Xenopus tropicalis: one gene and its partner. The protein of the gene in region 2 interacts with the protein of the main gene of each other region in a biochemical or structural test. Links are inferred from orthologs where the notes say so. Each region holds a gene or a part of one and is shown on either strand. Other genes may lie near its edges. The genes, in order: securin and anapc2.

Region 1 (4,321 bases), on a different chromosome or scaffold from region 2:
CCCCCATAGGAAGTACCCCCCATACACAACCCCCCATAGTAAGTTCCCCCAATTGAGACAGTACCCCCCATACACATTGCCCCCAATTGAGACAGTACCCCCATACACAGTGCCCCCAATTGAGACAGTACCCCACATACACAGTGCCCCCCCATAGACAGTACCCCCCATACAGTGCCTCCTTCTTCTTCAGCGGCTCCTCTCCTTATGCGGCTTCTTATACGGCGGTGACAGGCCCTTTTATAAGGTTGTGCCCCGTGCGTATGTGTGACGTTAATACGCACGAGGCGCAACCTTATAAAAGGGCCTGTCACCACCGCACAAGAGGCCGCATAAGGAGAGGAACCGCTGAAGAAGGAGCACCTCCCGCTGTCACGGATACTTCAATGAATGTCCAGCATTTCCGTAATCTATTACGGAAATGCGGGACATTCATTGACCTATCCGGGACAGCGGGATGCGCTATTAAAACCGGGACAGTCCCGTGGAAAGCGGGACAGTTCGGGGGTATGGTAAGATCTTTACCCCCATATGTAATGAAAGGCACTAAGTTTACCCATTAGCAGTAACCCATAGCAACGAATAAGATGTTTGCTTTTAAACAGGTGACCAGTACATTTTATTTGCTGGTTGGTTGCTATGGGTTACTGCTCCTGGGCAAACATAGTGCAATTAACTACATAATCCCTTTACAGAGCTGTCAGCTATGTTAGCAGGGGGAATTGGAGCCTGAAAATTTGTTCCTGCGCCCTAAATTCATCACTGAACTTTGTTTGACTTCCTCAAAATCGGGAGAATCCTGCTGGGGGACAAGTGACCAGGGAAGAATCTTCAAAATCAGGTAACTCTTGAAGAAATGGGGGGGGGGGGGGGAGGTTGACAGAGCATAGGGGTGGATTTGTGTGGCACTAGCCTTATATAGGCCCTCTACCGTTTATATTCTATTATCTCTTCAACATAGCTTTCTGATTGGTATGGGGGGAAAAAATTCAACAACCACAATGAATAAAACATGCAAACCAATTACAAATTGTCTTTTAATTTTACTGTCTGCATCTTAAAAATATAAAAATTAAAGTTAAAACCCCACTAAACAAACTTTTAAACATGCAAATATATAGAAGCCACATTTATGCAGAGAATACTATAGAAATCTTTGAGTGTATTGTATCCAAACGTGGAGAAAAACGTGTCTGTAGTTTTGCAACTGCCTTCCCCTTTCACAACGATTCATGATATCAAAGCCGTTAGTAAAAGGGCGGGGAGCTTTACAGGTCTTCAGCCAATGGGAAGACAACTTTGTGTTTAAAAGCCGCAGGACTGGGTGCTGCACGGTCAAGTCTTTGAGAAGTATTTTCAGGTGACGGCTACTAGACGCGGCTTCTCTGTTTTGTGGGTGGCTACTGATTCTGATTTCTAGCTGGCCTTGTTTGGTAACCGCAAGAAGTTACAGGTAGTTGTGGATGCTTGATTAAATTTCACTTTCCCAGCCTGGTGCTTTGATGTTCTTTACTCTTACCGTAAGTCACGAGGCGAACCGGCGTTACTTTCTTGGTCCGTGAGCAAGCGTAACGTTGTGTCGTGTGTTGCCTTTGCGCTGGCGGGTAAAGGCCGTTTGTGTGTGTGTTTTTTTTTGTTTTTTTGTTTTAACTTGCAGTTCTGTGTAGTGGCGTATATCTAGCCAAATCTATTGTCTGTAAGTTTAACTGTACTGCTTATGACTCTTGTCCCTAGAGACATCCAGTGACTGAAGTGGGGATGCAGTAAACGAGGGTTTTTTTTCTCTCCCACCCTACACCCAATCCCATATTTTATTGATTACAGCACAGCTTTGAATTATGTATTCCGATTGAGTGTTCTTAAAGGGCAAGAAACCATAGACTCAGGGGGCACTAATGTTATGTACCCCATGAATTGTAGTTGTTTGTTCATTGCCCTGTTCTTCATTTACGTGAAAATAGCTCTGTGCCACATTATACCTTTTCCAAATGGCTCCCTAGACTTTCATAAAATGAATTTTTTTTAATTTTTTTTTTTGCGCTTATGGTACATGGCTAGACAAACATCTAGCTTTTTGACCTCTTACAAGACACAAAGCTGAATATTTTCTACTTTGCACTTTCTTGCATTTTGTCTCTTATGGTACAGGTATAGGACCCATTATCCAGAATGCTCGGGACCAAGGGTATTCCGGATAAGGGGTCTTTCCGGAATTTGGATCTCAACACCTTAAGTCTACTAAAAAATCAATAAAACATTAATTAAACCCAATAGGGTTGTTTTGCATCCAATAAGGATTATTTATATCTTAGTTGGGATCAATTACAAGGTACAGTTTTATTTCTACATAGAAAAAGGAAATCCGTTTTACAATTCTGAATTATTTGATTATAATGGAGTCTATGGGAGATGGGCTTTCCGTAATTCGGAGCTTTCTGGATAACGGGTTTCCGGATAAGGGGTCCGATACCTGTACTAATGTCTAGCTTTGTATTGTGTTCTAGAGATTATTCCCACTGCAATCCACCTTGTCCTACACAAGGGGGAATTCACAAAAGTGGTGATAATGAGACAAAATAAAAGTGGAGGGAGATTTGTTGGATTTTCCACCTAACTCTCAAATCTCTATCTCCACTTTTGTGAATTTGTTTTTTAAACAGGCAGCTTTCAGATTTTGTCCTTTTGCCAACATTTTATAAATTTGCTTTTAGCTCTTCGTAAATCTGTCGTCATCAAACCCAGTCCCACAGCTACATGAACCATGGAATAAGGATTTTGCCAGCAGTATTTGTCATTTCATTTTGGGGGTATTTCCTGAAGGGAAACTATACATCATTTTCAAGACAAGCTGGGCTTTCTAATGTGTTCTATATTTGTGTAATTCCACTTCTGTAACAAGATTTAAGGGTCTAAATAGCTTCTTCTCTAGCCCCTACTGACCAGCAGCAACATGCTTGGTAAAAAGGGGCCCAACTGGACTAAGACCCACCAGGTTTTTATCCAGGGCCAGTCCAACCCCAATGTCCCAGTTTGGGTGCCAGTGTGTATGTGCTATTTTCTGATCACCAAGATGGCAGCTGGGAACAGAAGGGGCACAGCTAAAGGTGGGGGCCAATGCAGCTCTGTAGTTCTGGACATGCTATGAGGGCTCAAGTTAGTTGCAACAAGTGTCAGTGAAGTGATTAAAGAGGGGGGCACTGCTGCTAAAAATTTGCCTGGAGGCTTTACTTTTCCTTTAAATAAAAATGTATACAATGTTATTATTGCCTCATTGATTAAGCTAAAACAAGCATAATCATGCAAATGCGAGGGGGGGGGGAATGAAACATATGTGCAGTATGAAGCAAGGAGGGAAAGGAAGGGAGAATACCTTTTTTAAAGATGGCTGCCTGTTCAAGAAAACAATGTGAAGTAAGTGTGACTCAGTAAATATTTGATTAGGTGAGCCAAAAGTGTGGCGGTTTTACTAAACAATAGGAGGACTATTGGGCAGTATGCTTTTTATATTTTGACTTGCATTCTCCTTTAAAGTTTGGTGCATCCTCTTCAATTATTTCCTTTTTAAAATGGGTTTTTCATGAAATTTCTCTGAATTCTCTGGTTCCTCCTAAGGCTAATGCCACATGAGCATTTTCTCGGCAAGCCGAAGAATGCTTGCTGAGAATACGCCCCGCTACTGTAAATTTAGCCTACCTTGTGCCTGCACCCAAATGAATGGAATGGCCTCTGGTGCAGGCACATGTGGCAGATATCCGCGTAAAAATGTGAGCCTTCGTATTTTCGTCGGATATCGGCTACATGTGCCTGCACATTCATTCGGATTGGGGCGCAGGTAGCAGCGTATGGCTTTATTTTTGGCAAGCGTTTTTTGTCTTGTCAAAAATATACGCCATAAGCGAAGTGCCATTGTCCTAAACCATTGGGGAGGGGTTGGTCTTTTTAATTTGGAAAGCAAATGCATTATTTATTTTTTAAATAATTATCCCAATGAAAGCAAAAAATTCATAGGTTGTCCTGGGTTACTGCCCAGGTGCACATTTGCCCACTCTTTACAAATGAGCCTCTAATTATATTGACCTAAACATGAGTGGAACACCATTATGCAGGACAGTTATTGGTGCACTGGTAACTGTTTTTGCAAGAACCTAACCTGAAACAGCTTTGGTTTTCCTGTTTAAGTGAGGAAATGTTTTAATGTGATTAAAGTAGGCAAGTGTGTTCAGCACAAGCCTTGTTGTTTAAACTGTTTGAGTAAAGGCATATACTTCTCAAATTTTGTAAAGTAATATAATGTGGATCATAATGTTTTATCTAGACCTTG
Region 2 (3,816 bases):
GGAGAAAAAGGGAGGGAGGGGGAGAGAGAGAGAGAGAGAGAGAGAGAGAGAGAGGGAGGAGAGAAAGAGGGAGAAAAAGGGAGGGAGGGGGAGAGAGAGAGAGAGAGAGAGGGAGGAGAGAAAGAGGGAGAAAAGGGAGGGAGGGGATGAAAGTGGGAGGAGAGAGAGAGGGAGAGAGAGGTAGGGGGAGAGAGAGAAAAAGGGAGGGGGAGAGAAAGAGCCAACCAAAAGTCTCTTAGGGGGGTGATGTAATTAAAGGCACTAAGTTTGCCCAGGAGCAGTAACCCATAGCAACCAATCAGCAGGTAGCATTTACTGGTCACCTGTTTATAAGCAAACACCTTATTGGTCGCTATGGGTTAGTCCTGGGCAAACTTAGTGCCTATTATATATGGGGGTTAGAAGGTGCCCCAACCCAAGCCGCAGGCCCCGCCCCCACTTACCTTCAGCATAACCTCACAGTAGTGCATCTGGGCCTCCCCAAAGCGCAGCTTCAGCAGCTCCACATTGCGGATTTCTCTAAATACGGGAGAAGCAGCAACAGTCATACATCTGACCGTGTATTTTAACTGTGCGCTATGGGCCTAGTTGGGCGCAATGGGGCGGCGGGCGGTACCTTTCTGAGCTGTAGTTGAACTGGTGCAGGAGCCGCTCGGCCAGGAGGGTGCGGTACTCGTTAATAAATAGCTCTTTGCTGCCGTAGATACTGACCAGGAGGCTGATGATGTCCGAAGAGCGACGCTTGGAGCTGCTTTTGCCTGGGGGCAACAAGAGAACAAGGGGGTTACTAATGGGGTGGGGGAACTTTCACTATATTATAGAAGTTCCTAGCAACTTTGCAATTGGTCTTCATTTTGTATTTTTTTTTTTTTTTTTTTAAACTTTCCCTTCTTCTTATGACTCTTTGCAGCTTTCAAATGGGGGTCACTGACCCTGGCAACCGAGAACGATTGCTCTGTGAAGCCACATTTTTATTGTTATTGTTTGTTTTATCTCTTATCCTCCTATTCTGTCCCTCACTTATTTATCTTCCAGTCTTTTGTTGGAACCACTGCCTGGTTGCTAAGGTAAACACAACCCTAGCAACCAGATAGCTAGGCAATCAGGAGGGGTAAAAACACTACCATACTGCACTTACCCGGGTCAGCATCTACAGGATCCGGCAGCCAATCCTCCGCTTCGGACACGTCGTCGTCGCTCTCCTGCCCATTTTCCAGGACGGGGTCCGCCTTAGAAAGCTCATTGGCCAAGTCGGCGGAACCTTCCGCGTCCCCGGTTAACCCGGCGACAATCTGCCGGACAGTGTCCTCTCTTGTCCTATCGGGGACACAGGCAGGGTTTGAGCTTTCATATTAATCCTTCAAATACAGGTAGGGGGGACCGGTTACCCAGAATGCTCGGCACCTGTTACCCAGAATGCTCGGCACCTGTTACCCAGAATGCTCGGGACCGGGGGCTTTCCGGATAAGGCATCTTTCCGTGATTTGGATCTCCATACTAGCAATCTCTACCACATACTATAAATTAAAGGGGAACAACCCCTTTAATAAAGTTCTCAAAAACCCCCGGAATTCTTCCGGATACCTCAGATACTTCCTTATGGGCTCACAGGCGACTTCCAGAATAACCATGGAAGGGTCCAGCTCCCTCAGGGCTTTAATGGCCGATATGTACAGGGTGATAATGTCGGATGTATTCACTCCTAATAAACAAACAGAAGCATCAAAAACGTACTAAGGATACACTTGTTCTATTTAATTCTACTAAGGCCTAGCCAGTCTGCAGGGCTGTAATAACAAAACCCCCTAAAATGACCCTAAACAGCCCCCACGATGACAAACCTTTCTCCCTCCACCTTTCTCTCCTCATTTTCTATTACAAGCAGCTGAACTGCAGCTCTTTTACCGACTTCCTTGTTTAGAGTGAAGCGCCGCCCCCTGAGCCCTCCTTCTGGGTCCAACTATGAAGACCTCAAAGAGGGTTCTGCTCCGATTCAAAATCAATCAGGCATGCCCATTAGGCACCTCTTTGGGGTCTTCATAGTTGGAGAGAGAAGGAGGGTTCAGAAAGCAAAAGGGGGAGGAGTTTCATGTTAGACAAGGAAGTGACCAAAAGAGCTGCAGTTGATCTGGCTGTAATAACGAAACAAAATAAATCTCAGTCCAGATCGTACGGCACTTCCTTTCCCCATAAAACAGATAGAGAGGATTAGGGCAGAAATAGACCCACTGACCAGGGTGCAGAAGTCGGGTTTCCAGAGCGTTCTTCAGCGACGTTAACAGCTGTTGCCTCTGATTTGTTCTTTCCAGGCAAAACTTTAAATCTTCGATGGCAGGCTTGGATTCGGGGAAGTCTACAAGAAAGAAACGTTGTACCACAGTTGCGGTCTCTCTTTGATGGTTAATGTAATAAGCCCCGCCCCCTGTACTCCTGCCTCCATCCTCTGAATCCCACAATGTGCATGTGATGTCAATAAGGACCATCCCAGTGCAATGCATTGTGGGTTATGTAGTTCCTGCCTGCTGTCGGTAAGCTGTGGAGAAGTTGTTACAATTTGTCAGTGTTTTAGTCCCTCCTCCCCAGCCAGGAACTTGTTTTGCAGCCGGATTTCAGCCTATAAGAATGGGATTTATTCCTCTCTCATAGGGATATTAGGGGTTTCTGTGTTTAATAAATTTTGCTTCCCCTTTAGGCTGACCGGTCACCTCTGATGATGTTGAAGAGCTCCTCGATGCGCATACTGGCATAGAGCCGGTAGAAGAACCGCTGCACGTGGCAGCGCCAACGCTTCAGGGTGCTGCTGGTCTCTGGCGTAGTCGGCGGGACCGTCCCATCCTGCAGGAATACTTTGCTGAGCCAACCAATCACCTTCTCGATCCACTGCCAGAACAAGTGACCACAAGGTGAACCCCCTACCCTGACTGATTTAGTCTTATACACAGACATGCCCTATATCCAACGTTACCTCCTGAAATTCCCCGAGGAAGGATCGTTCATACTCCCCGCGGCATCTCTTCTCCATCCGCTCCTCGATCATCTTGTGCAAAATGGTGGTCACTGCGTCCGAGCAGATTCTCTCCAGCAGATTTAGCCTGTGACTATAGAAAAGCAACAGTTTCAGCCCCTTCCACATATTCCTGGTTTTTCTGTTTTTGTTCAGCAACTCTGTATTTGGCATTTTAGCAGCTAGCTGGTTGCTAGGGACTTATTTACCCTAGCAACCAGGCAGTGGTCTAAAGGAGAGATGGGAATATGAATAGGGGAGGGGCTGCATAGACAGATAAGGAATAAAAAGTGACAATAACAATAAAACTGGAGCCTCACAGAGCAATAGGGTTTGGCTGCAGGGGGTGCAGTTATCCTGTTGCTAGGGCTCAAATTACCTTAGCAACCAGGCAGTGGTTTGAATGAGAGACTGGTATATGAATAGGGGAGGGGCTGAATAGAAAGATAAGTTAGAAAAAATAACAATAAAACTGGAGCCTCACAGAGCAATAGGGTCTGGCTGCCGGGGTCCAAAATACCCTAGCAACTAGGATATGAATAGGAGAGGGGCTAAATAGAAAGATAAGTAACAATAAAACTGGAGCCTCACAGAGCAATAGGTTTTTTGGCTGCCGGGGTCAGTGACCCCCTTTAGGAAACAGAAATTAAAGGCAAATAATTAGAAAACCATAAGAAATAAAAAAAGACCAATTGAAAAGTTGCTAAGAATAGGCGATTCTATAACGTACTAAAAGTTCATGTAAAGGGGAACTACCCCTTTAAGATCAGTTAGAGAGTGACGCACTCTCTGGATTTGACACCGGGGCAGTT

The links.
Region 1: the proteins of anapc2 (region 2) and securin form a complex in vitro, tested with the Homo sapiens proteins (2 studies listed by BioGRID, with this or other methods). The link is inferred for Xenopus tropicalis from reciprocal best matches to the Homo sapiens genes ANAPC2 and PTTG1.

Annotation. Positions count from the first base shown.
Region 1 is NC_030680.2:46,748,366-46,752,686, reverse strand, and holds the start of securin, read left to right. Parts: upstream 1-1,319; 5' UTR 1,320-1,453; intron 1,454-4,321. UniProt on the Homo sapiens protein: Regulatory protein, which plays a central role in chromosome stability, in the p53/TP53 pathway, and DNA repair. Probably acts by blocking the action of key proteins.
Region 2 is NC_030684.2:1,699,772-1,703,587, forward strand, and holds part of anapc2 (anaphase-promoting complex subunit 2), read right to left. Parts: intron 3,099-3,816; coding exon 2,966-3,098; intron 2,881-2,965; coding exon 2,706-2,880; intron 2,354-2,705; coding exon 2,234-2,353; intron 1,703-2,233; coding exon 1,585-1,702; intron 1,318-1,584; coding exon 1,139-1,317; intron 759-1,138; coding exon 617-758; intron 520-616; coding exon 444-519; intron 1-443. UniProt on the Homo sapiens protein: Together with the RING-H2 protein ANAPC11, constitutes the catalytic component of the anaphase promoting complex/cyclosome (APC/C), a cell cycle-regulated E3 ubiquitin ligase that controls progression through mitosis and the G1 phase of the cell cycle.